Caenorhabditis elegans: one gene and its partners. The protein of the gene in region 2 interacts with the protein of the main gene of each other region in a pairwise test. Each region holds a gene or a part of one and is shown on either strand. Other genes may lie near its edges.

Evidence for each region.
Region 1: the proteins of cul-5 (region 2) and rbx-2 interact in a two-hybrid assay, tested with the Caenorhabditis elegans proteins (one study listed by BioGRID).
Region 3: the proteins of cul-5 (region 2) and rbx-1 interact in a two-hybrid assay, tested with the Caenorhabditis elegans proteins (one study listed by BioGRID).
Region 4: the proteins of cul-5 (region 2) and cand-1 interact in a two-hybrid assay, tested with the Caenorhabditis elegans proteins (one study listed by BioGRID).

What each region holds. Positions count from the first base shown.
Region 1 is NC_003279.8:6,419,128-6,426,110, forward strand, and holds rbx-2 (RING-box protein 2), read right to left. Parts: upstream 2,859-6,983; 5' UTR 2,723-2,858; coding exon 2,673-2,722; intron 2,619-2,672; coding exon 2,494-2,618; intron 1,886-2,493; coding exon 1,722-1,885; 3' UTR 1,533-1,721; downstream 1-1,532. Other genes in the region: ncbp-1 (Nuclear cap-binding protein subunit 1), read left to right, coding at 2,979-3,003, 3,060-3,154, 3,200-3,715, 3,765-4,034, 4,146-4,368, 4,462-4,579, 4,623-4,701, 4,752-4,905 and 6 more; lron-6 (eLRR (extracellular Leucine-Rich Repeat) ONly), read right to left, coding at 6,666-6,901.
Region 2 is NC_003283.11:10,176,660-10,185,959, reverse strand, and holds cul-5 (Cullin-5), read right to left. Parts: upstream 6,426-9,300; 5' UTR 6,396-6,425; coding exon 6,333-6,395; intron 6,288-6,332; coding exon 6,153-6,287; intron 5,775-6,152; coding exon 5,673-5,774; intron 5,626-5,672; coding exon 5,421-5,625; intron 5,375-5,420; coding exon 5,265-5,374; intron 5,218-5,264; coding exon 5,010-5,217; intron 4,964-5,009; coding exon 4,833-4,963; intron 4,784-4,832; coding exon 4,487-4,783; intron 4,441-4,486; coding exon 4,240-4,440; intron 4,198-4,239; coding exon 4,137-4,197; intron 4,091-4,136; coding exon 3,987-4,090; intron 3,942-3,986; coding exon 3,870-3,941; intron 3,823-3,869; coding exon 3,658-3,822; intron 3,556-3,657; coding exon 3,164-3,555; intron 3,119-3,163; coding exon 3,067-3,118; 3' UTR 2,806-3,066; downstream 1-2,805. Other genes in the region: ZK856.18 (RRM domain-containing protein), read left to right, coding at 1-16, 64-208, 260-560, 766-931, 977-1,209; ZK856.4 (Saposin B-type domain-containing protein), read right to left, coding at 1,514-1,608, 1,652-1,763, 1,813-2,028, 2,081-2,164, 2,596-2,676. UniProt on the Caenorhabditis elegans protein: Probable core component of cullin-based SCF-like E3 ubiquitin-protein ligase complexes which mediate the ubiquitination and subsequent proteasomal degradation of target proteins.
Region 3 is NC_003283.11:9,687,571-9,693,884, forward strand, and holds rbx-1 (RING-box protein 1), read right to left. Parts: upstream 2,953-6,314; 5' UTR 2,951-2,952; coding exon 2,876-2,950; intron 2,826-2,875; coding exon 2,619-2,825; intron 2,434-2,618; coding exon 2,383-2,433; 3' UTR 2,116-2,382; downstream 1-2,115. Other genes in the region: ztf-9 (C2H2-type domain-containing protein), read right to left, coding at 3,578-3,981, 4,030-4,261, 4,320-4,407, 4,457-4,566; ZK287.7 (RNA_ligase domain-containing protein), read left to right, coding at 5,499-6,028, 6,085-6,299. UniProt on the Caenorhabditis elegans protein: Component of the SCF (SKP1-CUL1-F-box protein) E3 ubiquitin ligase complex, which mediates the ubiquitination and subsequent proteasomal degradation of target proteins.
Region 4 is NC_003283.11:16,799,255-16,807,197, reverse strand, and holds the start of cand-1 (Cullin-associated NEDD8-dissociated protein 1), read right to left. Parts: upstream 4,327-7,943; 5' UTR 4,325-4,326; coding exon 4,187-4,324; intron 3,695-4,186; coding exon 3,584-3,694; intron 3,050-3,583; coding exon 2,795-3,049; intron 2,125-2,794; coding exon 1,611-2,124; intron 794-1,610; coding exon 1-793. Other genes in the region: ctps-1 (CTP synthase), read right to left, coding at 5,386-5,678, 7,042-7,335.

The DNA of each region.
Region 1 (6,983 bases), on a different chromosome or scaffold from region 2:
TCGGCTTCTCGTGAGGTATAAACTTTACTTAATGGATGTTATATTTGTAATTGAACCTACTTAAACTCGTATGAAATTAGTGAAAAATGCTCCAGTTTCTGCTCATATTGGCTCAGGGTTTTAGAATAGACTAATTGATAAAGATTTTTTGTAAAAACTCGATATTACTTTTTATTTTTTTAAAACGTCACAAAATTCTATCCGAAATAGAGACACTTCAGACAAAACTTCCAAAAAAAAATTTCAAGTCCAATATACTTTCAAAAATGCCAATTGTAGATAAATTCAAGAATATTCCAATTAACAAAATCTTTGAGATATGCCGCTCCCATATATTGAGGCTTTTTTTGGCAGATGATAATCTATTCAAGTTCCCAAGAGGTTAAATTTTCTGTGAATGGTGATCGAGGAAAAAAGGTGGAAATGAGTCAGAACTCAAACAAATGGTTCAATTGAAATGGGAATGAGGAAGATTTTATTGTTTTCGTTTATATCTAACATTATTATATTCTTTGTAGTTTATTAAACAGGTCAATGAGAACAATAAAACAATAGAGAAGTAACGTATTGGAAATTTCAAAGAACAAAAGCATTTAAAAATGTTTATTTTCACAAAATATCAATTTTAGGAATCACGAACTTTTCAGTCCAAATGTTGCTTCTCAATTTCTCATGGAGTAGATAAAAAAGTAACGTTTTTTTGAAGAAGTTAGGCCCAATGTTGGCAAAACGCACTAAAATTTCAAGATTTTGGGTACAGAAATGAGAAACATCACTTTTTCAACCCTCTTTTGTACACTGTATATGGTTGCTTCGCCGATTGATTTCAAGGAGCCGCATTCGTTTAAAAAGGTCTCGCCACGCGCGCTGCATGTATGAACAAAGATTTCTGCACGCGCCCTTTGAAGTTACTGTAGGAAATTTTGATCGATTTTTTCAACTTTTTTTTGCAAAACATTTAATACTATAGTCACTTGTGTTGTAGAAGACAATTACTCATATGTCTACAGTAATCTTACAGACTCGCACACAAAATAACTGTTTTATGAAGGGAGCGCGGTGAGACCCAAGGGACAATTAAATCAAATAATATCATTGCTGAACTCTTCAGACTCACTCTTGATCATCATCATCAATTGCATCTTGTCTTCGAAGTATTGCTCTATTTCGTTTTTCTGCATCTCCACGAGCACTGAAACTTCTTGTCAGATTTCCACGTGTCACTGAAGTGGATGGACTTTGACTTGGTCGAATTATCACTGAACGGACACGTTTGAAGACTCCTTGACGGTGGAAAAACTCTGGAAACTCGGATAATTTTCTATAAAATATTCAAACTGTAAATGTTCTCACCTGAACTCATTCTTAAATATATCTATCTCAGTTTCAGTAAAATCTAGAAGTATCTGTTCGTATAGTCCGCCAGACAATCGACCATGTCACGGCTGGCGTCTTTTGTTTTTCTTTGAAATTTTCAGAATCATTTTTTCTATTGCTCTGCTTCTTTGTGTTCATATTCGTGTATATGTCGTCTGTGTGTGTGTGAATTTTTATTTACAGTCATTATTTTTGTGAATGGGAACAAAGTGGAGAACGGGGTGAAAAATGGAGAGGGAAGAAGTGGGTGAAGAGACAATTTACAGACAAAAGTTCTTTTGAAAAAGAGTCGAAAAATTACATGTAAATTGGGAAAGAACGTGTAAAAGTAGATAATTGATACATTATTTGCTCGTGCGGCTGACGACCCAATCCTTTTGACACAGTGGGCATCTGTTGTTCTGTCGAATCCACTGAGTCATGCAACAATGATGGAATGAATGATTACAGTCTCCCCACACTACGTAGCATTCAGCACTTGGTTCAGATTGACAACGAAGACACTCTTCTGAAAAAAGTTGTTCATAATTATTGGATTAAATCTCATTCTGGTAGTGTGGATCTCCTGCTCCCTATGCATATTTTTAAAAAATGTTGATTTTAAATATATATTTGCAAGCTAAAAAAAAAGGACAATATATTTCAATTTCGACATAGTTGTATATTACCTATTCTGTTCACGAAAATTTGCGTGTTTTTTACTTTCAAAGCAAGCACTTTTGCTTGTTCCTGAACTTTTAAATACAAATATATCTTTCAAAAGAATACTTTTTGAACATATCACTAAAAAAATTTAGCTGCATATGAGCACTTCGAACTAGTAAAAAGTCGATCTGAACTTTTTCAGTGCATTTTTCCACTTTTTTCAAGACCTCTAGAAATGCTCCAAAATATTTTTTTTCGTAAGTTTGTAATGATATTTAGGGGTAGAGAAATATTATGGAAGATTTCTGTAGAATTGTGTTTTTTTAGAGAAAAAACTGAAAATTTTTTTAAACCAAAAACCATCATAAAATTATCTGCGACATTTTTATCTCACAAAATATCAAAAAAATAAGTTTTGTTATATTTTTGAAGCGATTCAACTTTTTAACCACTGAATTAAATAAAATTTACCCATTAAATGTACTCTGCAGATTGCACATGTGTCACATTCAACATCCCAGGCCCAAACAGCTAACGCATTCCATTTTTTGAGCACAAAAGGACGACTTTCAGACGGATTCGCGGTTTTTTGCTTTCTGAAAGTAATTTATATTTCGAGAATTTAATTGAAATGGAAATAATTGACTTACTGAGCACTCGTACTTCCTTCTTGTGAATCTGCATTGCTTGAATTGTTCATTTTTTTTGCAATAATTTATTGATTTATTGAAATTATTGGCAATTTAAGACCGGTTTTGTTTTTTGCTGCATAAACAGAAGTGGCGTTGAGAAGAAGAGGCGCAGAGATGTCAGACAGTAACCTACGACACTGCGCTGTTCCACACGCGCGCCTTGTTTAGAATATATTCAATTTCGAATTTTCCATCGGATTTTTTTGCGATTTCTCAAGCAAAACCAGTGAGATTTAATCAGATTTTGTTCGAAAAACAACGAAAATGTCGCGGAGAAGGCAATTCGATGGTAAGCTACTTCCTGCATTGTTTAAATCTTGTTTAAAAAAATTAAATGATTTTCAGATGAGGATGAAGTTCAAATGAAAAGACGTCGCGGGGCTCCACTAATCGAAGATGTAGAAAAAAAACTGCAGGGAGTCATCGGAAAAGTTGGAGAGGTAAGACATAAAACATCAATTTCCAACCAAAATATGTTGTTATAGAATACTGGCTCATCGATCGAATGCAATTTGGATAAACTCACAGCTTTTTTACATGATGATCTCGAAAAATATCGGGCTTCAATTATTGATATTATTGCTGGATGTGCCATCTATCTCCCAAATCGTGTTACTGTATACACAACTCTAGTTGGTCTGTTGAATTCAAAGAATTTCAATTTCGGAGGAGACGTCGTAGAAAAATTAATTTCTGAGCAGCAAGATCTTCTTTCAAAACAAAAATATCAAGAGGCTCAAAATCTTGCTATTTTCCTTTGTGATCTTGGAAATTCTGGAGTGCTCACAGCTCAATCAATTGGAGAATATTTGGAGAGCTTCATTGCAGCTGCTTTTGAGGAAAACATGCCTCAAGTTCGTAATGATTATTATATCCAAACAGTTCTTCGTTGTCTTCCATGGATTGGTAAAGAATTGACTGAAAAAGCTCCCGAGCAAATGGAGAATATTGGAGAAGCGATTGGAAAGTATCTCGAGTTGAGAAATAAAAATCACGTTGCGGTAAGATTAATATTAAACTTGTTAATAACTAAAAATAATATATTTTTAGCTTCTCCAAGTTTGGCGGGAAGGCTCGACAGATCAAAAACAAGAAGATTATCTCGAAAGTTTATCAGCTCAGATTGAAGCTCTTCGTAATGCGGATTGGGTTGAAAATCACATTCCTCGACATTATTCTGGTTTTGAAACCACCCTTCAAGATGCCCTCCAACATAATTTGCCAAGTTTTCAATCTCCAGAACATACCTCGGATATGATTTATCCATATCCACTGGTCGTTTTCCGTCTGTTTCAAGACGCGGATTGTTCCGCCTTTTCTGTAAGTGCAAATTGAAACTGTCTAAACTGTTCGTTCATTTGTCTTTTTAAGCAAGGAAATATCTTTTTTATTTACTGAAAATTATTTCAAAGGGTCTATTATAATTTTCAGAGTAAACCCCTTCCCGGTGATAGTTCAATAGATCGTTTCCTCTTCGAAGGTGAAATCGCTTGGATCATTGAAAAAAATCAATTTAATAGAAAAGCATGTGCTCGTGAACTTCTCGCTTTCGCAGAAGAGAATCCATCTGTTCCTATTGGATTCCTTATTTTCGAAACTATTTTCGGTCAAATGCTCCGTCTACCACATGCCCCATATCCAGCAATATTTCATTGTAAGTCAACATTCTTCATTAAAAGTCCATTAAACCTCGATTTAGCGGGGGTTTAATGTAGAATCCAAATAACTAAATTATATTTTCTTTCAGGCTCTCTCGTTCTCGAACTGCTAAAGCTTAAACCAGACGACTATCCACAGATTCTTGTTCAAACTGTTGAGTGTATCTATCGGCGCGCAGATTCAATGCAACCAGTTTGTATTGACAGGTAAATTATATTTCAAATTTCATATTTCAATTTTATTTTACAGAATGGTTGATTGGTTCAGTTTCCATCTTTCTAATTTCCAATATCGATACACCTGGACAGATTGGAAGGATTGTTTGAATGTATGTTTTTATTTTCTATTGTTCATAACATTGCACGGTAATATTTGCAGAAAGATGCATTTTCCGGCAGTCAAATCTTTGTACGAGAAGTCATAGAAAAGTGTCGTCGTTTTGGATCTTATGAGAAAATTATCGCTGCATTGCCCCAAGATTTTGTCAAGATTCATCCATGCTCTCCAGAAGTTCGATATCTCATTGATGAAGGTAAATAACTACTTTTTGGAAAAATCAAAACTTGTAATTTCAGAAGACACTGCACTAGTTCAACGAGCGGAAACATTCACTCAAATGTTCCAAGAACGTCAGCCAGCTGAAGCATTCCTCAATGAGCTTAAATCAAATGATGAAAATGACGAATTGCCATATAACATTAATGAATTCGGTCTTTTCGTAATGGTTATGCTCAAAATGGCATCGAAGACTTATTCACACAACTTCTCAGCTCTATTCAGGTTAGTTATTTAGATAATACGAATTGATAGTTATAATATTGTGTATACTCAAAAATTGTTAACTGCACACTTTTTTAAAAATTAATTTTGTATCGTCTTTATTTAATTATTTGTTGATATTTTCGAAACGAAGAGAGTTATAACCTTTCAAAGTAGTGGGGGTGCAATATTATTAGAGAAAATACAGTACTACAGTAGTAATTCGTTGTTGCGAATTTTCAAGTTTTTTTCAAATTTTTTGATCTCGATAATTTTCGATTACCGTCCCTGTTTCGAATGTAATCCTAAAAATCAACAAAGTTTTTATTCATTTCAGATACCAAACCACTCTGAAAACTGTCTGTGACGCATCAGAACTTTATCAAGAGAAGCTACTGGAAACACTTTATTCGTGCTGGAAAACGAATCAACAGATGTTGATGATCCTTACTGATAAGCTTCTTAAAATGCAAGTAATCGATTGTTCAGCCGTTGTTGGTTGGCTATTCGACGAGAAAATGTGGCAAGAACATGACAGGTACACTTTCACATACTCCAAAACTTTCTCTAACCGAAAATATTCAGACAATGGTTGTTCGAAGTGCTCAATCAAGCATTGGAAAAGCTCACACGACAGATTAATGTTGTCGAAAAAGACATAAAAGAGCTGACTGAGAAAACAGAGAATAAGATCAAAGAGGAGGATGATGAAGAGTCTGATATTAAGGTATTTATTTAGAGAGAATTATATAATAAGATCCCTTTTTTATAGATGGATGAAGATGAAACCAAAGAAGAAAAATTCAAACAAGATCTCGAAGATTTGGAGAACAATAAAGAGAAATTAGAAAGAATGGTCACTTTCCAAAAGGGTCTTTTCAATGATTTCTTAATAGTAAGTTGCTTCAAGATGTATTATCTCTAGTAAATATTTCAATTTTAGGCATTCATTGAAGAAATAAAAAACGCGGCCACGTCCAACACATCCGAGATGGATGGTTCTGGGGATACACCAGGAACTCAAACACCTAAATTCATGTGGCTCCGTGGAAGATTCTGTCACGTTTTGCTAGCTGTAAGTTTTATACTCGTTTCGAGTCGGCTAGAACAATCTTAAAAATGTGAAACATTAAAGAATGGTCTCCGTTTTTGATATATTTTTATATGAAATATTTTTCAGCACGCGGAAACACTGTTGAAGCACTCGAGTAACATCGCTGATGAAGTTTTCTCTGAAGGAACCGATCCTAGCATTATTGAATGCTTCAACCAATTCCAGTCTCTTCGTCTTTAAATGAGTCATATACTTTAATCTTGTCCAATTTCAAATTTCCTGTTATTTTTCTCAACCAATCTCTTCAAAATCTCTACGATCCCAGTCCGGGTTCATCATAAATATGGACTTTAAGTCCCCGGAACCATGTTTATTTTATCAATATTAAACTCCCAATCTCCGTTTGTTTCTTGTTGTGTTTCATTACATGTTTTACCAGGTCATTTATTTATTCTATTTAATAAAATTAATCGATCCGTTCAAACACTATCCACACCTTTTTCCATTCGACACGCCATGATAGAACACATAAGAATCGAAAAAAGTAACAAAAAGTTTGCACATAAAGATATTAATAAAAGAATTGGAATATGAAAGGCGGGGGATGATAGATCATGAGGAATTGAGAGAATTAGAGAATTCGTAGAGTTTTTCGAAATTTTTGGGACAGGTTTTGAAGATAAAGAAGAACGAAGACGTCGAAGAGAATAGCATCCTGAAAAATATTATGAATCCACGTATTACATAGTGGTTTTTTTTTGAATTGAAATGTAGACGCATTCATGACGTTAGGTCCT
Region 2 (9,300 bases):
ACAACTTCTTACTCAGGTTTTTATCATTTTCAAAATGGGTTTTGCATTTCCAGCTATTTTCAGACATTCATACTCGATATAAAAACTCGACTTATCAACACCCAAAAAAGAAAGAAAAGAGTCCGAAAAATGCGATATTAATCAATTTGAAAAACACACTCGGAGGAGAGAAGTTTACAGTGGAAGATGTCAAACAGGAACTTGCTCCGTCAGTTTTTAAAAAATAATTATGGGGAAATTTATAAAAGCTATATTTCAGATTTGGTATAATTCGTGCTGTTCAGATATGCCCAATAGATGCATGCCAGGCTTTTGTCGTATTTCAGAATGACTATGAAAGATCTGCCCGACAGTCTGTATCTCGGCTTTTGGAACTAACTTCAGGAACTATGTTTGTGAATGGATATATGTGGACAATTTGCAGACCAGTCAAATGCAATCACGTCGCGAGAACTCATGAAGAGAGAGAAGTTGAAGAACCAGGAATCACGACTTCACGTGGAGTAACTGTTGATGAACTTAGTGGGATCTTTGCAAGTTTTATTCAACAAAATTCTTCGGTGAGTCAAGACAAAGAAACATTTTTTTTCATTTTTCAAATATTAATTGATATCTGGTTACTGTAGTATGAGTACGGTAGTAGTAAACACAAATCGCAACTGATGATTCGAGTTTCAATGACTCTTTGTCAAAACTTCGAAGTTAAATACTTTCCATAACCTTGATGTGAAAATCTAGCTTTCGAATAATTTAATTTTATTCCAGGTTTCCCAAACATCAATTTTCTCTGATTCGACTCAATCCTTCTCGTCATATTCATTGTTCTCTCGGTCAAGAACCGTTAGCTCATCGTCCTCTCAATACGCTGAAAGTTGCGATTCGTCTGCAACAATCACTCCGTTTTCATACTATCCCGCACAACAATCAACCGGTTTGTTTAATAACTAAATTTAAAGAAAACACTCAACTTTTCAAGGTTTTCTCAATCTTCCTCCACCTTATCACACTCTTCCGGATACTGCTTTCTTCCGTCGCACGAAAATCATCCCTCCTCCGCCAATGAGACAAGAAATTGCTCCAGTTACTCAACAAATCATGAATTGCTATATTAATAGTATCAGAAAAGGAGATTCTGAAATTGGAAGACAACGACAATTATCTCTTTGTTCAAAAATGGAGCTGGAGTATAATTGGACTGGTTCTTTATGATCGTTTTAAAACTCTTTCATGTTTCTTTTTCTTCAAACTTTGAATACACGCTCATTTAATAATTTTCACTTCTATAGAGCTTTGTTGTGAACAGTTACAGGGAAAGACGCTACGGAGGCGCCCTTGATTGCGCCCAGTTTAGTAATTATTTATAACCACGTTTATGTCGTTATTTCTCGGAGATCCGGGTGCGAGAGGATTGAAACAACCCTGTGAGGATCTACAAAATACAATATTTATTCTTATAAAAGATATTTCAGATATCAAGTCGTATAAAAATTATATTCACAGTACTAAAATTTATTTATTCATTCCGTCCAGATACACTAATTGCTTTTTGGAACTTTTTCAAAAAATGCACGATGTCGTTGTTGAAATTGGTAACATGTCCTTGGAGCACTGAAAAATTAAAATTGTTTTTCATGAAGTGAAAGTCATTAACTTTTCCCGATATCATTAAAGCCGTTGAAGTTGATTGCACTTTCATTGACATTTACTTGTCTGCGAAAACGATCTTGATTTTCGGAAACTGGGAACTCATCGTTGTACAAAATCTGAAAATCTTACTCGATGTCTTTATTGTGACCTCAAACTTGATCCTACATCAAGAACTTTTTTTGTCAATTCATTGGGAGGCCGTCCTCGTTTCACAGGAGACTTCATCTTGCTTCTTCCGTCTGAACTTGGAGATGCACACATATACAAATTATGGCATAATTTTACAGCAGGAGTCCAACCAAAATACATTGCAGACACCTCAATTGCTCCATTACACACCATATTATTGTCCAATACCATATTACAAGTATTCTTTTCAATCTGAAAAGTCAGTTTTCTATGTCGAAAAAGTTTCTATGTTGAAATTTTTCACTTCTTTGACAGCTTGTGAGTTGCTCGTGCGTTTTGCCAAGTTCACAATACGTACACATAACCAGCACAATTGATGTAATGGATTCTGCAATAAAATATTTTCCAATATTTAGGATGTTATGGGACTTTAAAACAAAGATTTAAATAGTATTAGTAAGACAAATAGTACATTTATTTATGAGTGAAATGACTTTAGAACCCCGTTATTTTCAAAATTATAACTTTGGTTTTCAGATGATATCTTCGTCATTTCTTTTGCGCACGGGGTCTCGCCACTCGAACAATAAGTTACTGTAAGTTATGTTATAATAAGTTACGGGTCGCTTTTGCATAAACTTTTTAAAATTAAAAATCTTGACAGTATTGTTTTCATTTAATTTTAAAAAGATTATGCACTAACGACCCATTAATCGATACAAGTTACAGTAACTCGTTATTCTCGTGGCGAGACCCATGCGTATAAGATATGGCGGAACCTCTCATATTTGAATGTCTACGTAATATTGTAAAACTTACAAAATCCAATGCTTCGGAGGCAACAAGGATGCATAATAAAATATAAAATAATTTCATTTTCAGTATTTGATGTTCAAACATTCCTTCTCATTATATACTGATTTTGACATAATATTTTCAACAAATTTACTTTCCTGTTATCCGAGTTGATCTCTAGCAGGAATCGAATGTAAAATCCATCTGTTCAAATATCTATCATTTCTTGCGAATCGAGTAAAAAATAAATTCATTCACCGCCACCATGTTTGAAAAGAGAACGCGTAAGACATGAACATTTGATAACAATACAATTATTTTGAGAATAAGCCGAGAAATTAAGACCCATACCAAATCGAAGATGCAAAATGACAAATTATAATACAGAAAAATGGTGAAAAACTATGGTGGTTAGAGGCCAATGCGAATTGACTAGATCGGAAAGTGAGACTGATACTATAACATATAGTTAAAAAGGAAAATACAGGAAAAAAATCAGGAGATATAAACGAAAGTGTTGATGTCATCCGCACGGCGTTCCATATATCTGAAATTTTTGTTGAATTTATGCACTTTATTCACTTTTTCTTACTTGTTTTCAATAAGCCAATCAATTTGTTCTTTGATGATTTTCCTATTGGGAATAAACAATGGTTTCAAAATTTCGACCAACTCCATTGTGAGCTGAGCCAATGTGTAAGTTTTTCTAGTTTTCAAAATCTTCACAATTCCTTCTTGAACGCGGAGCTCCCGCAATGCTACGATGCTCTCGTGTTCCTTCTCAGCGTTGGCTTCCAATGACAACTGAAGTCTTCCTATCAAATTAACTTTTCCACGTTGCTGTGACTTTCCATTTTTCACAACATTGAAGTCATGATTAATAAGGAATTTTGTAGAATCAGTGAAATCTCTGGCTGTGACGGTTGTCGAAGGAACGTCGCAAAGAAGAATTTGGTATCTCATCTTTGGATATGCAACCAGTGACTGAAATAAGAAATGCATTATCTGAGAATTAGTTCCGAATTATCTCAAACTGTGAACTCACAAAAGTCCTTGAATAAATAAGAATGAAATATTGAAAGTTACCAGAAGTGTGCGATTCAGTTCAGCATCCGGTAATTCAGTAGCAAGCCGTAGAGTTTCCAATGATATTTTATCATGAGCTCTATCATTGAAACAAAATAGAACTGCCATCTGGAACGTTGTGCATTCAAGATCGAATCTGCCGCCATTTGCAGTTCCGAAGACCATCTGAAAAGACATGTTAAGTTAATCTGAAGCTGTTTTGAGATATAAACAGTTCCACTGCTCCAGTGATGCATCCAGCATAGCTTTCTACCATTATGTTGCTTTTTGTAAAACGCTTCCATCTGAAATTAAGATAATTTTATAGGTATGGTGAAAGGGAATTCTACCTCGGGGACAAAGTCCTCTAATTCACGAGGCAGAGAGAATCGAATTCTTTCAGACCCACCGCGACCCCAAGCACCTCCATTTAAGACTTTCATATTGATAGAATCTGTAAAATATTTTGAAGTTAATCGAATATTAATTCTTTCAAGTACCTGCAATTGATTTGTTGTTATTTGTTCCAGTTAGCGCCTTTTTGAAAGAAGAGTTCATGTCCTGAAAGTACAAGGTTTTTAAAATAAGAATATATAATTTTACCTTATTCAGCTCGATATCTTGTAACATTCTGGATAATTTATTAACTGCATCGGATGGCATTCCGCATTCTCGAAGTTTTGTCACCATCATCTCTTCTTTTTCCTGATCAGCACTCATTTCCAAAATTAAACGACGTGAAAGATGGGCTCGGTGAAAACGCATGAAAACATCTTTGTTTTCAACATATTTGAGTACGAGAAGCTGAGATTATATCTATATTTAAGAATAACTAAAATTGAATTATTACCACTTGATTGAGTTTTTCATCAATCTCTTCTGATGTCAGTTTTTTGCTCAATTGTGTTTTTCTTAGCAAAAGATCACAATAATTGGCTAGTAGTTCAGCGCATTTTGATTCCACCGATAAGGTACGACCTTTCTTATTCATCATTTCAGTTTTGAATATTGACGAATCATTCACAACAGCCCGAAATGCTTTGTCGCGAGCGGTCAAAAGGCGGGCATCGTCACAGAATCCTTCTCGAACCAGGGAAGAAAACTTATCGAACATAAGAAGGAGCTGTTGGACATATCTTTCAGGATCCTGCAATTAACTAGTTAATGAATTTAATAAAATGCATATTGTAAATCACCGTAGAAAGGTTCTCAGCATTGTTTCTCATGTCATTCAACCCTTCAGTTCGTATATGAGTGTCAATACACTTGAGAACTGTATCAATTCCGCTTCGAGTTCTACGAATCAAGCGATACAGACGTTGGAGACCTGGAAAAGAATACATTTTTACAATTCGAGCAAATACAAAACTTACGCTCGACATCTTTACTGGCAATTAGTTTTGAGCATTCTGCTAAAATCGTATCTTCAAACGACTCAACAAGTGCAATTACTGCTTTTTCCATGTGTTTCCCAGACGTTGGTGAATTCATTTCCAAATATCTTTTGGCTCGTTGCTGCTCTTCTTCCAATTTCTTATCTGCATAAACCATATATTCGAGAACACCGAGTTCGTTGAGAAGCTGAAACACATTACGTATTTGAAACACCAAAAAACAGGTTAACTCACATTTCCGCATATTTTTTTGTAATATTCCGTGGTCTGTTCGATAAACTGTCTCTCAAATGATTGTCGGTAGACTAAAAGTGGATCTTCCCCTGCTCGATCGTTCAGTGCCACTGAAAATGATTCTTCGTGTAATAGGTACAAATAATTGTATCTTACCAAAGCTTTCTCGGATACCGATAACATTTTGTGCGTCGATTATATTTCCATCACGTTCTTCTTTCACTAAACGAAGAGCTTCAACCAGTAGTTGCTCAGAAATATTCATGAAAATAATTTCGTTCCATTTTTCGAGCATCACGGTACGAATAGATTCTTCCGGAGTTTCAGGAACACTTCGGCGTCTCGAACTTTCATCGATTTTCTGTAGCAAGACCAGATTTGAATAGACAGAAGACAATTAAAAACCACCTTGAATGGAAGTGGAAGAATGTTAGCTTGCTGATAAAACCGATTCCATTCTTTGATGTAACCAATTAGAAGACTTCCATCTGTTTGCAAGCTTCTTATCCTCTGTAGAATTTAAAAAATAAACCATTAATTTACAATAATATTGAAACTGCAGTTTTTTTTACTCCAATGGTGCCAAAATGACCAAATATATAATAAAACTTGAGAAAAATTTTATTTAGTGTCCAACAGTGAAATTTAATCAGTTTTTGCTACTCATAATGTTGGAAGTAGACCAAAAAAATGTTTTCCTACATTTTTTTAAACTATAATTTTGTTTTAACTATTTGTATTAAAACATTGTAGGGACCGGAACATGTGACATTGATTTGGATTTCCTCAAAAGCTCATATTTTTCAAAATTATGGCAAATTGCCAAAACTTATAAGTTACAAAATCTCCACTGGCGCTACTCCACCTTTAATTGAAAAAAAAACTTACTTTATTTGCTTCATGAACATAATCATTGATACATCGAGTGAGAATATCGCGAATTTTCAAAGGCCCGTCATCTACCCAAGATGTGATTTTATACACGTGATAAAAGAGATCTTGCCATGCAGCCGGAGTTACTGACTGTAAAAATGGAATGTTTTCTACGTTGAGACGAATGAAACTAACTTTCTGATGCAGAAGTGCATGTACAATTGGATCGGCTTTGCTCCATTCTTCGTCGAATTGCATATTCTGATGGTCTCTCTCTCCGAGACCTCACTGCAATTTTTTTTTTGAGAATTCGAACTTTAAAAACAAGGGCGATAACGATATATTATTGATCTAAATGTTCAAAGAGAGAATTCATTTTGAAACGAAATGCAGATTGGTTCCATTTAAAAATAGTTGTTCAAAATCACTTCTCCTCTTACAAGTCACGTTTTGTTCGATAAAGAAATTGATAACGAAAAACAATAACAGTCTTAAATACAGTGATAACATGTGTACCCATTTTCAATCATTCTTCAAATAATTTTTTGTATTAATTTATAAACAACTTATTTATTTCAACAAAATTGCTTTATATACCGTATATCCTCTATTAGTAAGGCGTGCAAAACTAATTTTCGGACACATAATTTGATGCAAAACTAATAGAGGGTGCAAAACTAATTTTCAAGCAGGTTTTTTTTCTCATGTTTCTCATTAAGTTATGGCAAATATCATCAATTTCAGTAACACCTTATGAACCAAAATGGACGAATTTTACGACTGATACGCAACCATTGTCCCAGTTGTACTCATATTTTGCCAATTTTGACTTGTTATACCAAGTCTGTAATAATTTTCCTGATTGGTAAAACGATTTAATAATGCAAATTTTGTATTCCTAAAAATAGGGAACAATGGAAGGGGTGCAAAACTATTAGAGGTGCAAAACTAATAGAGGCGCCTTACTAATAGAGAATATACGGTATTTGATTAATTTTTCCATTTAAGTTGCCAAATTATTGAATACTCGTTGAAATATCAACTTTATAAATTAACACAAAAAAGTATTTGAAGAATAATTGAAACATTCTCAAAAATTGACGCTTTGATTGAAAAACAATTATTCAAAATGCGCTGTGACGTCACAATAATTCAAACATATTTTTCCCGCCATTTTTGTGCTCAGTGAAGTGATGGGACAACCTGACACCAAAATTGGAAATATTAATTTTTAGAAAAAGTTGAATGTAATTAAAGTGAAATTAAGAGTTATTGAAAGAAGTGAAAGCTATGGAAACTAGATTTCACTGAAAGAAAAGTAAGAGAGGAAAAAATGAGGGAGAGAGAGTGAGGGAGATGACAAGAACCGGTTGTATGCAACCACACAAAATAGCGAGAATTTGCTTACTTGGGATGCAGATTCATGAAGAAATGATACAACATATGTTCAAAAGATCGAGGGAAAAGATGATTTGCATTACATTAATATTTGACCAATCAAAAATTAATTATGTTTTACAAACGATTTTAAAATATATAGCCAAAACTCAAATGTCCCCGAAACTTCCCCCCCAGAGATGGTAGTGCAAACGCGCTCTAACGAACTACTTGGCGTTGAAAATCCTTTTGGAGCTCACGAGTCGGCATAAACTGATCTCATCTCGACAAGACTATTTTTATTGATTTTCCATTGTTTTTCGGTAAACATATTTTTATTTATTATGAAAACCCAGAATAAAACAATTGTGAAACACATAAACTTTGGCAAACCGAACACAAGGAAAAATCGATGGAAATTACCCAACAAAAAAAGTTCGAAATTACAGTACTCTTTAAAGGCTCACACCCTTTTGTATTTGATAAAAAGTGTCGTGCCGAGACCTGGTACCGTATTTTTGAGGTAAAAATCCGCGTAAGTTTTATTGAGTGAATTTATTCGGGTCTGCAGCTAGGTTTCGTTGAGAAATAGTCATACATTTATGAACGTAGAATGAAAAACTGAGAAGGGCATTGACATATTAGAAGGGGAAATTAATGAAACAATCTCCCAAACAGGAGACAACTCTAATAGTTATTCACGATATCAATCATTTCAGAAATTTGTGTTTGTTCCGGCATCGTTTTTCTGAAAATTCACAATTACTTCAGAAAAATTTGCACGTTCTATAAAAATGAGACTTTGATGCAATCGGAAGTATTTTCGCTGCTATTTTTATGTTTTCTAAGAATTTTCAAATAAACTTTCACATCATCACGAGATACATAAATGAATACGGAAAATGATTTTTTAATATATAAATAGTTATAAATCGTTTTGAATTCATATCATCTTCAAGAGTGATGACGTTTTCCACTTGCAATATGTCATTTCACTACGATGACGTCACCTTGAGAATGCTCGACAACGTCCTTCAATGGGAAATATTTCAGTTCGAATTTCCTTCCGCAAGCTGAATGTGGTCGTCGTGCTCATTTTGCTCTTTTTTTGCTTTGAAAATAACCTAACACATTGTCCATTGTTTGTCGGCGTAACATGTTTTGTCTAGACATTGGCTGTTCAGCTTTAAAACATAAATTTTCTTTACCAGTTTTAATTTTAAAATTCAAACACATATTGTTTCAAATACTCCAGGCAGCTGTTCTTTAATCAGAATATGCTCGTGTGAAACTTTAGGTATTCTTGAAACATATGTAGGTCCAAGAATAAGAAAAGTTTCAATATTTTCTCTCAAATGGAATATTTACTTTGTGTCAAGAAGCAGCTTAGAATTCAGGCAAAATTTGATTTTCAAGAGTTACCGCACAAAGAACCAAGAACTTTGGACCACACGTAAACAAGCTTCGAACCGATTTCAATAGAGGATAACATATGTTTCATAAATACTTTAGAGTTCTATCAATAATTGTATGAAGTTTGTAGTGCAAATCATGAAAAGTCTTGTCTGATAAAAAATAAATATTACTTATATGTAGTATTTTTTTAAAAACTATATTTCTTTTAATTCGTTTTAATTCAGTTGAGCTCCTAGAATTCCCTTTAATCATTACAAGATCATGTGTTCCCAGTATTATAAAACAGCTGAAAATTTCAATGTTTTTTCAAGCAGAAACGCACATTTTTCATGAAGTTTTTAATACGCATATTACGAATGTACTAGTCCAC
Region 3 (6,314 bases), 490 kb from region 2:
ATATAATTTCATCAAATTAAATAAATCAGAAAATCTTACCAAATACACCATTGTCAATTCTATGCTGCCCACGCAGTGAACGATCCTGGGAAGGGGGTGGATGTACTTTTACATGGAATAGTTGACCAAAGTTATTCGATATTCTAGAAGCGTAGGCGGAAGTTGTGACGGGTTTGTCAATCGGAAAAATATTTCGGTTAAATAAAATTTAAAGAACTAAGAGCAATAATTGTTTTATCAGTATGTTTCATAATTTAAAACTCATCTTGAAACTTCTTATTTTAACTACCAAATTCTTGGGCAGATATAATTTTAAAACTATTCTGCAGAATGAAACACGAACATTTTAACACATATCTGCCACAAACTGAAACTTGTAATCTAAAAACCTAATAAATTGTTTTGAAACGAATTTATCCGGTTGTTTCGTTAGTGATTAAAAAAAACAATGCGCTCTGAAAATTTGAAAGTCATAAAAGCAGGCTTCAAGCCTCACTCATGTTTAAAGACAAAAGAGGAGAGCCTGTGTCGATTTATAAGTAACAATTTCCTTTAAAATTGAGAGACTCACAAGAGGCGTGAAAGTAATAGCAACAACAAAAGTTTATGATTTAACTATTTAGACAAAAACTTTAGAATTCGAGCACCGAGTTTTAACAAGCTGATCAGCGTTGGGTATTTTAATCATCCAGTATCATAAATGTGAAAATATTTATATCTTCCATTTCACCTCAATTGATATTTGATATGCGATTTTGCAGATATAATAGATTTTTAAATAATAAGGATATTTTACCAACCTGTAAGGAGTGAGCAATGTTCACTAAAAATTGAAATCCAAGGACTAGAATCATCTTTGAATCATTGCCAGATCGAATTTGGCTTCCTGGAAATGAAAGAAAATAAAAAAGAAACTGAGATTTTGCAACAAAAACGAATGGATAAGTGGCTTCAATTGAAATTCAGCGGATTCCATCAAAAAGTTGTTCAATAAAAATCGGGTCTACCTGCAGCTCCACCTATTCTTTTTTCTCTCAAACTCTTGTTTTCTACTGCTGCCTTGTGTCTTACATTCCCACACTACAATACAGATTCGGACGGTTCGGATATAAAAAATGGGATTTCCAAATCGGGGAGTGGATCGAGGAACACGTTCAACAAACATACACTGTATTGGGTAGGGGAGTCGGTTTGCTTGTTCCGACATGAGAATCTCGAGTTACAACTCGCAAAACCAATTAAATCTTCTCGCAGACAGTAACTGATCCCCGTGGTGTAAATTTTGACCTATTGGTGTTTGATCTGATCACTTCGATGATAACAGAAAATATATAAATATGTAGCTAAGTTGGAGAGTACGGTAGGTTACGGTGTGATCGCGGTGAGATATCAGGTGATTATAAACTATATAGTTTAAGTAAGCCCAAAGCCCAATAGCGGCCTGAATATACCTCGTTTTTAAAGAAACGTTTTAAGTTACTTCAGAATGAAAAAAAAACAGTCTAGAAGTATTGGGAATTAAATTTTCGAGTGGCAGTTATATTAAAAAAAATAAACCGATGTGTATAATTTTCATTGAGTTTTGCCCTACTTTGTGAACTTCAACACTTCTAAATATGTATGAACAATTTTGTGCAATTTGGCATTCGGAGGAACTACTGTATCTGAAATCGTGGCAGGACCCAGCCAAGAGAAGTAGTGTGCGCCTTTAAAGTGATACTTCACTTTTCATGAAGTTAAGAATATCCGCAATTTAGCAACGTCGATTATTGAACAATAAACGTTTGTAGACAGTTTTAAAAGCAGAAAATTATCTTGGTCTATATTAATGAGAGAACTCTACAAAAATCAGTATCCAAAATTTAAAAAAAACTTTGGCACAGAAACGAACAAGCAATCGTAATAATCAATTATTACGGAAAGGAATACGAAGAAGCGGCGAGAAATGTGCTGCAATTCGGTTTTGAACGTTTTAGCCGAATTGCAAATAAATTACGCGAGACGAGACCTCCTCCTTTTGCTCCGGCGGCTTGAACGGTGCCCGCAACCTGAACCTAAACAGCCTAAGCACATAAACGGCACGAGAATTGTCTCGTTGAGAATTATGAGACCAGAGGACACAGTTCATATTTATATTTTTAGCGGAGAAAAATTAAATATTCAAGCGAGGAAGGATGATTTTAGAAGGTCAGAAGGGATTGGAGATTTGAATAAACAAATGAAAAGTGTCAGATCACATAGAGACTAACACGTCTGGATTTTAATGTGCTTTTTTTTGGGACGAATACATATTCACAAAAGGAAATAGAAGAAAAATCAGTGAATACAAGTAAAAAAGTGTGAAGAAACTGCCCGGGCGGTTGGCAGAAGAATGAAGATCGATTAGTGTCCGTACTTTTGGAATTCCCACTCACGATTGTCCAATGGGCATACCTGAAAAGATAGAATTAGAAAATGTGTAAGCTTTTTGAAATGCTAGTTACGAGTACTTAGTAATTGAAAAAAATTAAATTTTCAAAAGTTGTTTAACAAAAATGCATGCGGCAGGCTTCTGTTCCGCTTTGACATTTGAATAAATATCATTTTTTCAAAAATAAGCACGTTTAAAAGCAACCTACCTGTCGTGTCTTCAGCCAACGAGAAATGCAATGGAAGTGGAAAGCGTGATTACAGTTTCCCCATGCAACGGTACACTCATCCTTGAGCCCGGCTGCTTGATTCGCTTGGCACTCGATGCACAGATCCATGATGTGATTGCGGCAAATAGCGCAGTTGTCGACCTGAATGTCCCAGGCCCAAAGTGCGACGGCACTCCATTTCTTGACCTTAAATTGCACTATGTTTGTTAAAGCATGTAACATTGTATCTGTGTTACCTCGAAACGCTTCTTAACTGTCTGATTTGTGGCCTCCTCGACCTCCATAGCTGTGCTGTCGCTTGCTTGGGCCATTTCTGGAAAAAATACAAATGAGAATAACAGTAATCATTTCAAAATAAGAGCGCAAAAGTAGCATTGATGATATAATGAAATACTTAATATTGAACATGTTTATGCATACTATAATACTATAAGCCTAAACTAAATAGAGGATATGATTGATAAAATTGTTGTATCAGATTTTATGAAAAATTGTACCCTAGAACAAGTGATTCACGAACCTAATACAACATTGTTGTACAAAGCCGCCGATAGAAAATGAGGAAACATGAAGGACTTGACATTATTGCTAATATGTATTGAAAAAGGAGATACGCTGTTGTAAAATAAATAAAATGAAATCAGACTGAGCAACACTGCCGAAATTCTTTCGAAAGAATCATCAAAAACGCTTGTCTGCACACACCAGACGCTACGCGCATTTGCGTACACCGTACTCACCTATTTTCTGTCTTCACGCTTTCGCTTTCTTTTTAAAATTTACTCGTCGCGTCTTATTTCTTGCCGAAACGAACAAAGAAGAACAGGTTAAAAAGAAAAATTGTATTTAACAAAAATAAACCGTATCAGTTAGTATTTTAACAGTAATTCTAACAATTGGGACGATGAGAAAACAACTTTTAAATCGTTTCAAGATATTTATTCTGGCAAATCCGTGTATCCAATTCTCTTTTTCTTTCGCTCCGGAAAACATTTTTCAGTAATTTCTTTCAGCTTGTTTCCTAGATTTTTTCGATAGTCAATAACCATGTCGCAGTCGATGGTTCCGTCGGGTCTCTCGTGATGGCTTTTTATGTGCTTGATCACATCAGATTTTGCAATTGTCTGCCATTTTCTGTGACAGATTCCGCACTCGTAGAGCTCATATTTTCCGTGACGCGTATTTGCATGATACACCATGCTTGATCTTTGTTTGGAAACAACGTCTCCACAAAGAGAACATTGAATTTGTTGCTTCGGCTTGATCGGACCACCGCCATCAGATGCTCCCTCGAATGAAGGACCGGCTCCACGTTCTTCTTCGTGACGTGCCAGAGTTTCGTCTGAATTAAATCCAAATGAGTGGGAATCATTATTATGTGTAAGTTTACCTAGAAAGGCATGATAAGCATTATCTACGAAGACAACAGGAGAAGATGACTGAATAGGTGTGCCAGTTGCTTCTGAGTTTTCGACTTTGACTCTGTTCTCCACTGTGCTTGACACCGCATCGCTGATTTTCCCTTCAATCCGCATAGATCGACTCATTGCAATGCACCGTTCGAGCTTTTGGGTCAGTTCCTTCTTTTTCATACTCAACTCCGGTGTGTAGCGATATTTTATCTGCAATTTAAATTATTGTTGAATTTTTTTTCTGCGTCTCTCAACATTGGAGACTTACAGAAAATTCGGTGAGTCCATGATCATTCATACAGTGACTGACAAGGGCGAATTCCGTTGGAAACTTAGCGTACTTACATTTTTCGCATCTAAAATAGTAAAGCTACGTTCACCACATATTAAAAGTTAAAGACTTACTCATATGGGCATATGTTAAGATGATCACTAGCAATGTGTGCTTCGAGATCTTCCAGTGTGTTGTAGGCCTCAGTTTGAACGCAATCTAGACATCCCAGTAGTCGGTTCATTTTTTGAATGTAATAAATATATTCTGCAAATTTAGTAATATAGATTTAGAAGCGAACGGTTAACAAAATGTGTTCGAAATCAACTGAAGACGCGTGGAAAAAGGAAAAGAATGGTGAGAAGAAGAAGGAAGGAAAATGGAGAGAAGGGGGTGGTTTTGTGTGTGTGAGGAGGAGAAGAAGGCCGGGCGGGCAATGGCCAGTCTCTTCCTCCTTTCTCCTTCCTTTCTTCTCCTCTTTCTTCTTTTTTCTTCTTCTCATCGCTCGGTTCGCGCTACATTGAAACGGAGAGAGAAAGGGAAAGAGAGAGGACAAAAATGCGACGACTCGTCTTCTTCCTATCTCTTTCTCTCTGCTGTGTGTGTGTGTGTGTTTTTGTGGCGATAGGAAAAAAAGAAAAAGGAGCGGGATGGGCGGAAGAAAAGTGGGAAAAACTGTTGGAAAAATGAAAACGTGAGAGAACAGATATGAGTCAGATTTTTGTGAAAAATAATTAATTTTGAGATAAAAAGTTGATGGTACAAATACCATGACCATGCATGGCAGTCTCTTTTTTGTTGAAATTTTTGTTTAGAAAACTTATTTAAAACCAATTCTTAAGGAATATGCATTTTTTTTAAACACGAAATTCGCTTTAAACAGAGTACTTCCATTGGAAAATGTAAGGGAAATAAACGATAAAGCAGCCGAAGCTACCATAAACTTTTTTGCGCATCGAGACCAGTCCAAATCAATCCATGCGCCTTTAAGAAAGTATGCCAAAATCTTGTAAAATTAAGATACCATTTTTTCCTAGCAAGAATTTCTCGCTTTCTGATAATTAATTTGGTAAAAAATTCTAAAGCTTATCTGAAACCTTTCGTCTTATAATTTTACAGACTCGGTTTATATTTTATTTTGATAATTAAAAAATAATCAAGATTTTTCAGAGAAAAATGAACACACTGCGACGAATATCGACATGTCGATTCACAAGTAATACAGCGTCTTCAACTTCTTTGGAGTCTGCACCGGCTCCACTAAATCCAAAAGTTCAGAAAGCTCTGACTCCTGCCACGTTTTCAAATCCCAATCAGCTGGCTCGATACCTATCGAAAAAGGTTTTGGCTCACGCTCCAGGTCGATTTGTAGTGTTGGAAAAGCCATATGGATTGTCATGTGTTGGACAACTTCAAGAAAATGGTGGAGTATTTGGGAATAGTGTTCGAGATGAGAGAAAAACTGAAAAATGGGCTGGTACAATCAAAGCAAGGACTCAAGAACAAATGGGAGTAACAATTTCCGATTGTATCAAAGATTTGAGAAAGTTGCTCCGTGAGCCTCAGCTCAGTTTCTGTACAGGCTTAAAACGATACTTATCTGGTGCAATTGTTCTTCCATGTAATGAAAAGGATTCCAATATTCTGAAAGAATGTATCAGAAGCACTTCTTCAAATGTCGAACCCCCTTTTATGTATAATGCCTTGTAAGTTTTATCAATTTCTAAAGTTTAATTTTAGTATTTATTATTTTAAAGTTCAGAGCAATCACAATTGGAAGACCTGAAAAGAGCAGTGGAGTCATAACTGGATTTGCCACGTTTCGGAATGTCGGAAAGCACAAAGAGTACATTTTCGAAGAAAGAAAAACAACGAAACGGGCAAAAACTGGAAAATACGCTGTAGAAGGACATATGAGCTATCGAGTACTGGACACAAAAAATGGAATTTCATTGATCGACTTTTCAGTAAATAAATGTAAATTAACCAAAA
Region 4 (7,943 bases), 6.6 Mb from region 2:
ATAAATTTCTTCTCAACAACGACCAATAACTTCTTCGCCTCCTCATTTCCACCACAAGCCGACAGCTCACGGAGCACATCAATATATTTACAGCACACTGCGAGGCCTTCTGCTGAGACTTTATAAAATGGCTCAGAAATTGAATGAGTCATAATTGTGGTCAATGGGCTCAACAAATTCTTGAATCTCTTCGGATTATTGAGTGTCAAGGCATTCGAAATGAAGCTGAGCACAGTCATTTTTCCCTGAGCCGACGCATTTTTATCGGTTAAAATGTTGGATACAGCCGGAATAATATCATCGAGACTATCTTCAAGGCCTGATGGATAGGTCCGAATTAGGGCCGAAAGAAGTTCAATGCATTTTGGACCAGTTTTCGGGTGTTTTTTCATCGATTTTGTGATTGTACGAAGAAGCACATCTTTCTGATCAGCTAACGATTGAATTATAGCCAACTGGCTGCGTGATAGATAATTCGTCGAAAATTTGGTTCCACCAATCACCACAATATCATCAGTTTCAATGGAATCCTCGTCGGCGGCCACAACGGCCTTCTGCAAATCTGGGACCAAAATGGAGATCTGATTGAGTAGGGCAATGTAGACTGAGATGATTTCAGTTCGGACAGTCTCTTCGCGTTCTTTGAATCGTCCAATCACTACTGGACCGATTTTTTGCGAGAGATTGAGAAGGGATTCCCGGTGTGATGAGATCATTGCTTCGATGGCTTTTGCGGCGGCGCGGCGAACTTTCCATGTGACGTCTTCGTCGTCGCTGTATTCATCTTCGTCGTCTGCAAAAAATTTGAATATTTAAAGGTGGACTACGCTCAGCGAGGAAATTGCTTTAAAACACGCCTATGGTACCACAATGACCAAATACCATGATTAAAAAATTCAAAAAAATTTTCCAAATTTTATATGATTTTTTGAAAATTGGAAAAATCGCAGTTTTCCCCTAATTCCTTTTTGAATTTCCGCCAATTGGATTTGTTCGATGGAGCGCGCTTGCACGTTTTTAAATTTATTTATTTTATTTATTGTTATTTTCCACCAACTTTTAAAGTTTTCGGTGTATTTTTGCTTGAATTTAGAGAAAAAGTCAAAATAATTGCAAATTTTCGATTAAAAAGCACGCTACCAGGAAATTAGTTAATTCAGGTTTTAAATCGTTTAAAAGCGTTACTTTTTCATTTTTACGCCTGTACGTTTGCTTTTTAATCGAAAATTTGCATTTATTTTGACTTTTTCTCTAAAATTCGAGCAAAAATACACCGAAAACTTTAAAAGTTGGTGGAAAATAACAATAAATAAATAAATAAATTTAAAAACGTGCAAGCGCGCTCCCTCGAACAAATTCAATTGGCGGAAATTCAAATAGGAATTAGGCAAAAACTGATATTTTTTTCAATTTTCAAAAAATCATATAAAATCTAGAAAAATGTTTTTGAATTTTTTTATCATGATATTCGGTCATTGTGGTACCATAGGCGTGTTTTAAAGCAATATCCCCACTGAGCGTAGTCCACCTTTAAGGCTAAAAAAAGCTCCAAAATCAAGAATTTCAGCTAAAAAATCTTTAAAATCTTCAATTTTCGCACAGTTTCCTACCATCTTCATCATCTTCCATTTGCTCATCCTCATCATCATCTCCATACTCGTAATTCGGATCATAGGCCAGTGCATCAGTGAGCTGTTGGATAACTTCCTTCTCAAAAGCTACAACTTCCTGTGGATTCCGGTACAAAAATACTTCCAATCCTTGAATAGAAGCTTCCCGTAGATCATCGTGCTCCGATTCGGTTCCAGGATCAATTTGAAGATATTGAAGAAGGAACGGAACAACTTTCGGCGTATGCTTCGAGAATCTCGATCCACTGGCTCGTGCGACAGTGCTCAACGCGATCACAAGTGTACGAAGTTGCACATTTTGAGCAGCCGACGATGGAGGGGATCGTTGAGCCAGCTCTTTGAGCAAATCTTGAACGAGCTCATCGTAAAGCTCTCCGTTGATTACAGAGGCAAGATGTCCGATTCCAGTGATTGCCTTCTTTCTGATAGCGGAACGGAATGAATACAAGTGATCTACCATCACTTTCAACGATCCTTTGTGCATTTCGGGAACCTGGAACTAGAAATGTGTGAGATTTTGCTTCAAAAAGTGCCAAAATAGTCTTAAATTCGGGAAAAACGTGAAATTTCGGCTGAATTCCATCTGATTGGTTGAAAAGTGGGCGGGGCGAATCGCTGATTGGTCGCAATTCCCATTTTGGAGGAAATTAGCCAAAATTGAAAAATCGCGTTGGATTTTTCGTTTTTTTTTCGAAATTTGGCATTATTTCAGAGTTTTTAAAGCAAAAAATGGAAAATTTTTGAAAGTTTGGTTTAAAAAACCCAAAACTGACAATTTTTCAATTTTAGGGTTACTGTAGCTCCACAAATTCGCAAACACTGACAACACACCGGATTTGACGGCAAAATGCAGAATAATCAATATTTTCCGCAATATGTCGTGTTTGCGTGCTTTTAAGGGTACAGTAATCCCGGTAACGAGCAAAATGGCTGTTTTCTAGAGTACTGTAGCCTCAAAAGTGAGCAAACACCGCCAAGACACCGGACTTGACGACAAAATGTAGAAAAAAACGGAATTTCTGCAAAATGACGGTTTTTGGCTAGATTTGGGGTATTTTTTTTGAAATTTTGAAGATATTTGAGCTCAAAAAAGGCTCATTTGGGCTATTTTAAGGCTTGAAAAGCCCAAAAAATAGGATTTCCGGGTGTAAATCCACACTTACAACATCACCAAATCTCAGCAAAACTTCTCCAATCAAATCGAGAACATCGACACGAGCCGCATCATCTGGAGCACACAACGACAGAGAATCCACAAATTTTGGCAACATTCTCTTGACAACTGTAGTTGTTGCATTACTTGAAGCCGATGGAGCCAAATTTAGAATCATTGCTTTAAGTGTGAGAGAATGAATATCTCTTGATTGTTCAGCTTTCGAAAAAACGTGTGGAGTGAGCTCTTCGACGAGATATTCCAGCTGAAATTTGGGATTTTTTCAAATTTTTAATGATAATTTTTTTAAACAAAAATTTTTAATGTTAAATATTTAATTTCCCGTTGAAATGTTGAAAAATCTACTGAAATTTTGAACTTTCTGTGGAAATTCGACTGAAAATTCCAATTTTTTAAACTTTTTATTGTAGAAATATTGAATTTCACGCTGAAAATTTATTTTAAATTCGAATTTTCCGACAAAAATTGATTTAAAATTTGACCATCCATCCAAAAAATGACTTTTTTGTCAAACTTTGACTGGAAATTCGTGTTTTCCTCCAAAAATTGAATGAAAATGTGACTTTTCTGAAATTTTATATAAAAATCGACTGAAAATTCGAATTTCCAGCCAAAATTCCATTTTTTGTACGAAATTTTCAAACTTTCCAGTCATTTCTTAATTTTTTGAAGGAATTTTCGTATTTTTCTCATTGAAATCTCCAGTTTTGTCGTATTTTTTCCAATTTTTTCCGTTAAAAACACCGAAATTAAAATTTTGAATTTTCCGATTACTGACATGATGCGTTTTGATTTTCGATGGCTGAGCAAGGAGTCCAATACATTTGATCGCAAGATTTTGAACTTCTCCGTTTGAGTCACTGAGCAGTTTGATTAGAGCACGAATGACCTGAAAAAAATTAGAAAATTCAGATTTTAGCTAAATTTTGAATTTTTTTTTGGAATTTTTGTTTAAATTCCGGCGGTTTTTAGTTAATTTTAGCCATTTTTTGAATTTTCAACATTTTTTGGCAGAAATTTCCGGTTTTTGCCAAAATAAACAGTTTTTTTTTGTAATTTTAAATAATTTTTTTTTCGTTAAAAATTTAAATTACAGCAGAATTTAGCAGTTTTTCGGATTTTTAAATAATTTTTTTTGTAGAAAATTACGGTTTTTGCCGGTTTCGAATTTTTTTTGTAGAAATTTCAATTTTCAGCTAAAATTTTTTTTGAAATTTCAAACAGATTTTTCTGTTGAAAGTACAGATTTTAGCTATTTTTCACCTTTTTTTTCAAAATTACAATAAAATTTCACTGGAAAATTCAATTTTTAGGGTTATTTTTTAGCTTTTTAAAGCAATTTTTGCACCAAAAACCGCCAATTTTTGAGATTTTACTATACTTTAGCAGTCGAATCGTCCTCCAAAGCGATAGTTCCAGTCTGCAAATCTTTCATCAAATCATTGCAAGCCATGAACCGGAAATCCTTATCCGGATTCGACATTTTGTCGACCAGTTGCCCGACATGATAAGCACTCATCTGGAAACAAAATTTGGTCTGAAAATCACTTTTCGGGGTCTGAAAACGTGAAAAAGATAACCAAAAGAGGCAAGAAAATAGACAATTTTGGGCGCCAAAATAAGTGATCAAAAACTCTAAAAACGAAGTTCATCGGGTGTTGGTAGAGAACAAAATCTATGAAACTGGGTCAACAATTGAATAAATCCGGGAAAAAATGAAGGTGACTATGGGAGAAATTAATGAAAAAAAAACAGAAACAAGGATAACAAAAGGACAAAAACGACGAGAAAAATGCGAAAAAAAAGAAGAAAATTATCTTTGGAATATCAGAAAATAAGAATAAAAACAACAAAAACTGGAGGGATTTTTGTCTGAAAATGGTCTGAAATTGACGAAAAAGGGTCGATTTTTTCGAAAATTTGACTCAAAATTTGCAAAAATCTGAATTTTTCGTTTTTCTGGCGGATTTTGGCAATTTTTTGAGTCAAAAAATAATTTTTTGGACTGAAATTGGTATTTTTAGGCCAGTTTTTGGGAAAAAAAGCTTGAAATATCGCAATTTCAGATCAAAAAATAGTTTTTTGGTGGAAAAAGCCATTTTTTACATATTTCGCTCAAATTTTGGATTTTTAAAAACATTTTTGCCTCAAAAAAAAAAACCACTTTTCGGGGTAAAAGTGTTCCTTTTTAGGCATATTTTTGGGAAATCGGCTGAAAAAATGAGTTTTCTGGCGCAAAAATGTAAATTTTAAGATAAGCAGCTCAAAAAACGGCAAAAATTGAAAAAAAAATCGAAAAATACCAAGTTTTGAGCGTTTTCCCGTTTTTCGCACAAAAAATAGCTTTTCGGAGAGCAAAAATCCAAAAATTCAGCAATGTCAGCTTGAAAAATGGATTTTTGGCTCAAAAACTGCAAAAAATCCAAAAATTCAGCGATTTCAGCTCGAAAAATGGATTTTTGGCTCAAAAAAAGGCAAAAAATCGGTCAATTTCTGCAAATTTTAAGACGATTTTCTGACAAAATCATCTACTCAACTACAAAAAAAGTGAAAAAAAACGACGAAAAATTGAGGAAACAATTAATGGAAAGAAGCCAATCTCTGAGTTCCTGGCACAGCATTTCCCTCGAGTTTCAGTTTCCCCAACATTGCTCCAACAACATCTTCACGCTTCTCCTCCGAGTCATTCTCTTTTGTATGATGAAGATGCTCCTCTTCATTTACAACTTGAAGAGCCGGACTTCTTGACCCAGAGAAATATGAATTAAGTTGACGAGTTGCGGCAAGCAGAAGACCGAAGAATGGTGGAGATGGAGTGAGTGGATGGGAAAGGTATTCGGGATGGAATTGGGCTCCGACAAAGTATGGGTGGTCTGGAATTGGAGATAAGCTTCAAGGGGTGCCGGTTTTTTTTAATTTCGACTTTTTGAAAAATCTTCTCAAAAATGAATAAAATAATGTTTATCAGCATAAACAAAATTTGATTTTTTTTTAAAGTTTGTTCATCGATTTTCACCAGAAAAATTTAGATTTTTAGGAAAATAACTTCCAAAAATGGAATTTTTGTTAGGTTTTTCGGACCAAAAAACTTCTTTTTTTTTCTTCAAAAATGTTATATTTTAGTTGGTATGACGATAAAAAACCAACAGTTTCTTTTTTTTAGCCGAATTTTTTTTTGACAGTCTTGTTAAAATTTTTCTGAAATTTCAAAAAAAAAATTGTAGATTTGTCCGGAAAATGGCTTAAAATTTGGGCTATTTTTCCCACATTTTTGAAGAAAAATATCGATTTCCTTATAGTTTTTACTCGTCAACTTGAATAAAAATTATCAAAAAAATGAAATTTTTTTTTTTTTTTTTTTGATTTTTCGAAAACAAAGTCGATTTCTCGGAAAATAGCTGAAAATTTGGGGTGTTTTCCCACATTTTATAAGAAAATAATATGCCTTTTTATGTTTTTCTCCACAAAAAAAATTTGATTAAAAAATCGAAATTTCTCGATTTTCTCCAATTACACCCTTGGTAAGAATTTTTAAAAAAGTAGAAAAATACGACTAAGAGAAAACGGCCTAAATTAAGAGTGACAGGGCCAAACCAGCAGATTTTGAGAAAAAAATTAACTGTTAGCAAAGAAAATTGCGTAACCACTTGCAGAGAGAGAGTCATCAATTTCAAAATCAAATGGTTCGCAATGGAGCGCGTTCGCTCTCTCTGAAAATTGCCAGGACGCAATTTCCAGAGGTAATTATCGATTTGGAGCAACTAAAGCGAGAAGAATATCGATTGATCTCATGAAATAGCTTGTGTAAACTCGAAATATGCTAAAATAAACACATTTTGAATTGAGATATTTTAAAAATGTTTCAAAACTTTTTTATTACGGTTCAAACTTTCGAACTAATTAAAATTGATTTTTAATTGAATCTTGTCTTATTTCTGTCATTAATAGCACGTTTTTTCGTTGATTTAGGTATATTTAAGGTCTATAGGTAGGCAAAATGCACCTGGAATAACGAAAAATGTGAACTAATAAGCAATTAAAAATCAATTTTTCGGCCGCTTAATTAGCTACAAGCTGGGCATTTTTTCATAATTTTTAACCGCCATAAAACATTTTTGAAACATTTTTAATGGCAAAATCTAAGATTTTAGCCTTTTTTTTCTTAAAATTTGAAGGTTTCTGTATGAGAATCTGTCTGCCAGGGCTTAAAAATTGAATTTTCGTCCTTATATTTACCCTTCATCTCGAACATTTCCATACGAACAGCTGGCCGAGTAACCCCATCGCCTCCTCTCTGACACAAATCATCAATTTTGTGCAACAAATCAATTTCAGTCTGATCAGCCATCTGCATAAGCTCCGCCGAGCTGTCGGTTCGCTTCTTAACATCCCAAATATCAGTATTCTGTTCATCTACACCCATTCCGACGAACAAGAATCCCTTCCGAGCCATTTGTGGAACAACGTGGGGATTCACTTCGTAACGGTGACGGTGACGTTCTTCCACTGTGTGAGTTCCGTAGAGACGGTCTGGAATGAGAAATTTTTTTTTTAATTCTGATTTTAGGCGGGTTTTTTTTCAGCTTTTTCTGATGAAAATGGCAATTTCTGTGCGTTTTAGCCTAGAAAATCGCAAAATTTAACGTTTTTTTCCATGTTTTGCACCTAAAAAGTCATTTTTTCAGCTGAAATTATTACTTTAAAGCTTATTTTCCGAAAATAGGCTTAAAAAGTAAAAACTTTTTCAATCCGAATTTCTGATATTTTAAACTTCTTTTTTTTTGTTTGAAAATAGGCCTAAAAATACCAAATTCAGTCTAAAAAATAAATTTTTTGTCACAAAAAGTTGCTAAAACCGCAACAAATTGAAAAATTCAGATTTTTGCAAATTTTGAGTCAAATTTTCGAGAAAAAAAACCGCTTTTTCCTATTTTTTAGGCTCTTTCAGATATTTTTTCGACAAAAATTGCAATTTCTGTTCGTTTTTAGCACAGAAAATTGCGAAACTCGGCGTTTTAACGAAACTATAACCAGAGTTTTATTTAGAGGACGTTCTTCAGTTCTTATGCGAATTTCGACGCATTTTTCTGAAATTTTCAGCTTTTTGACGTATTATTCCATTAAAAATTTCAATTTCT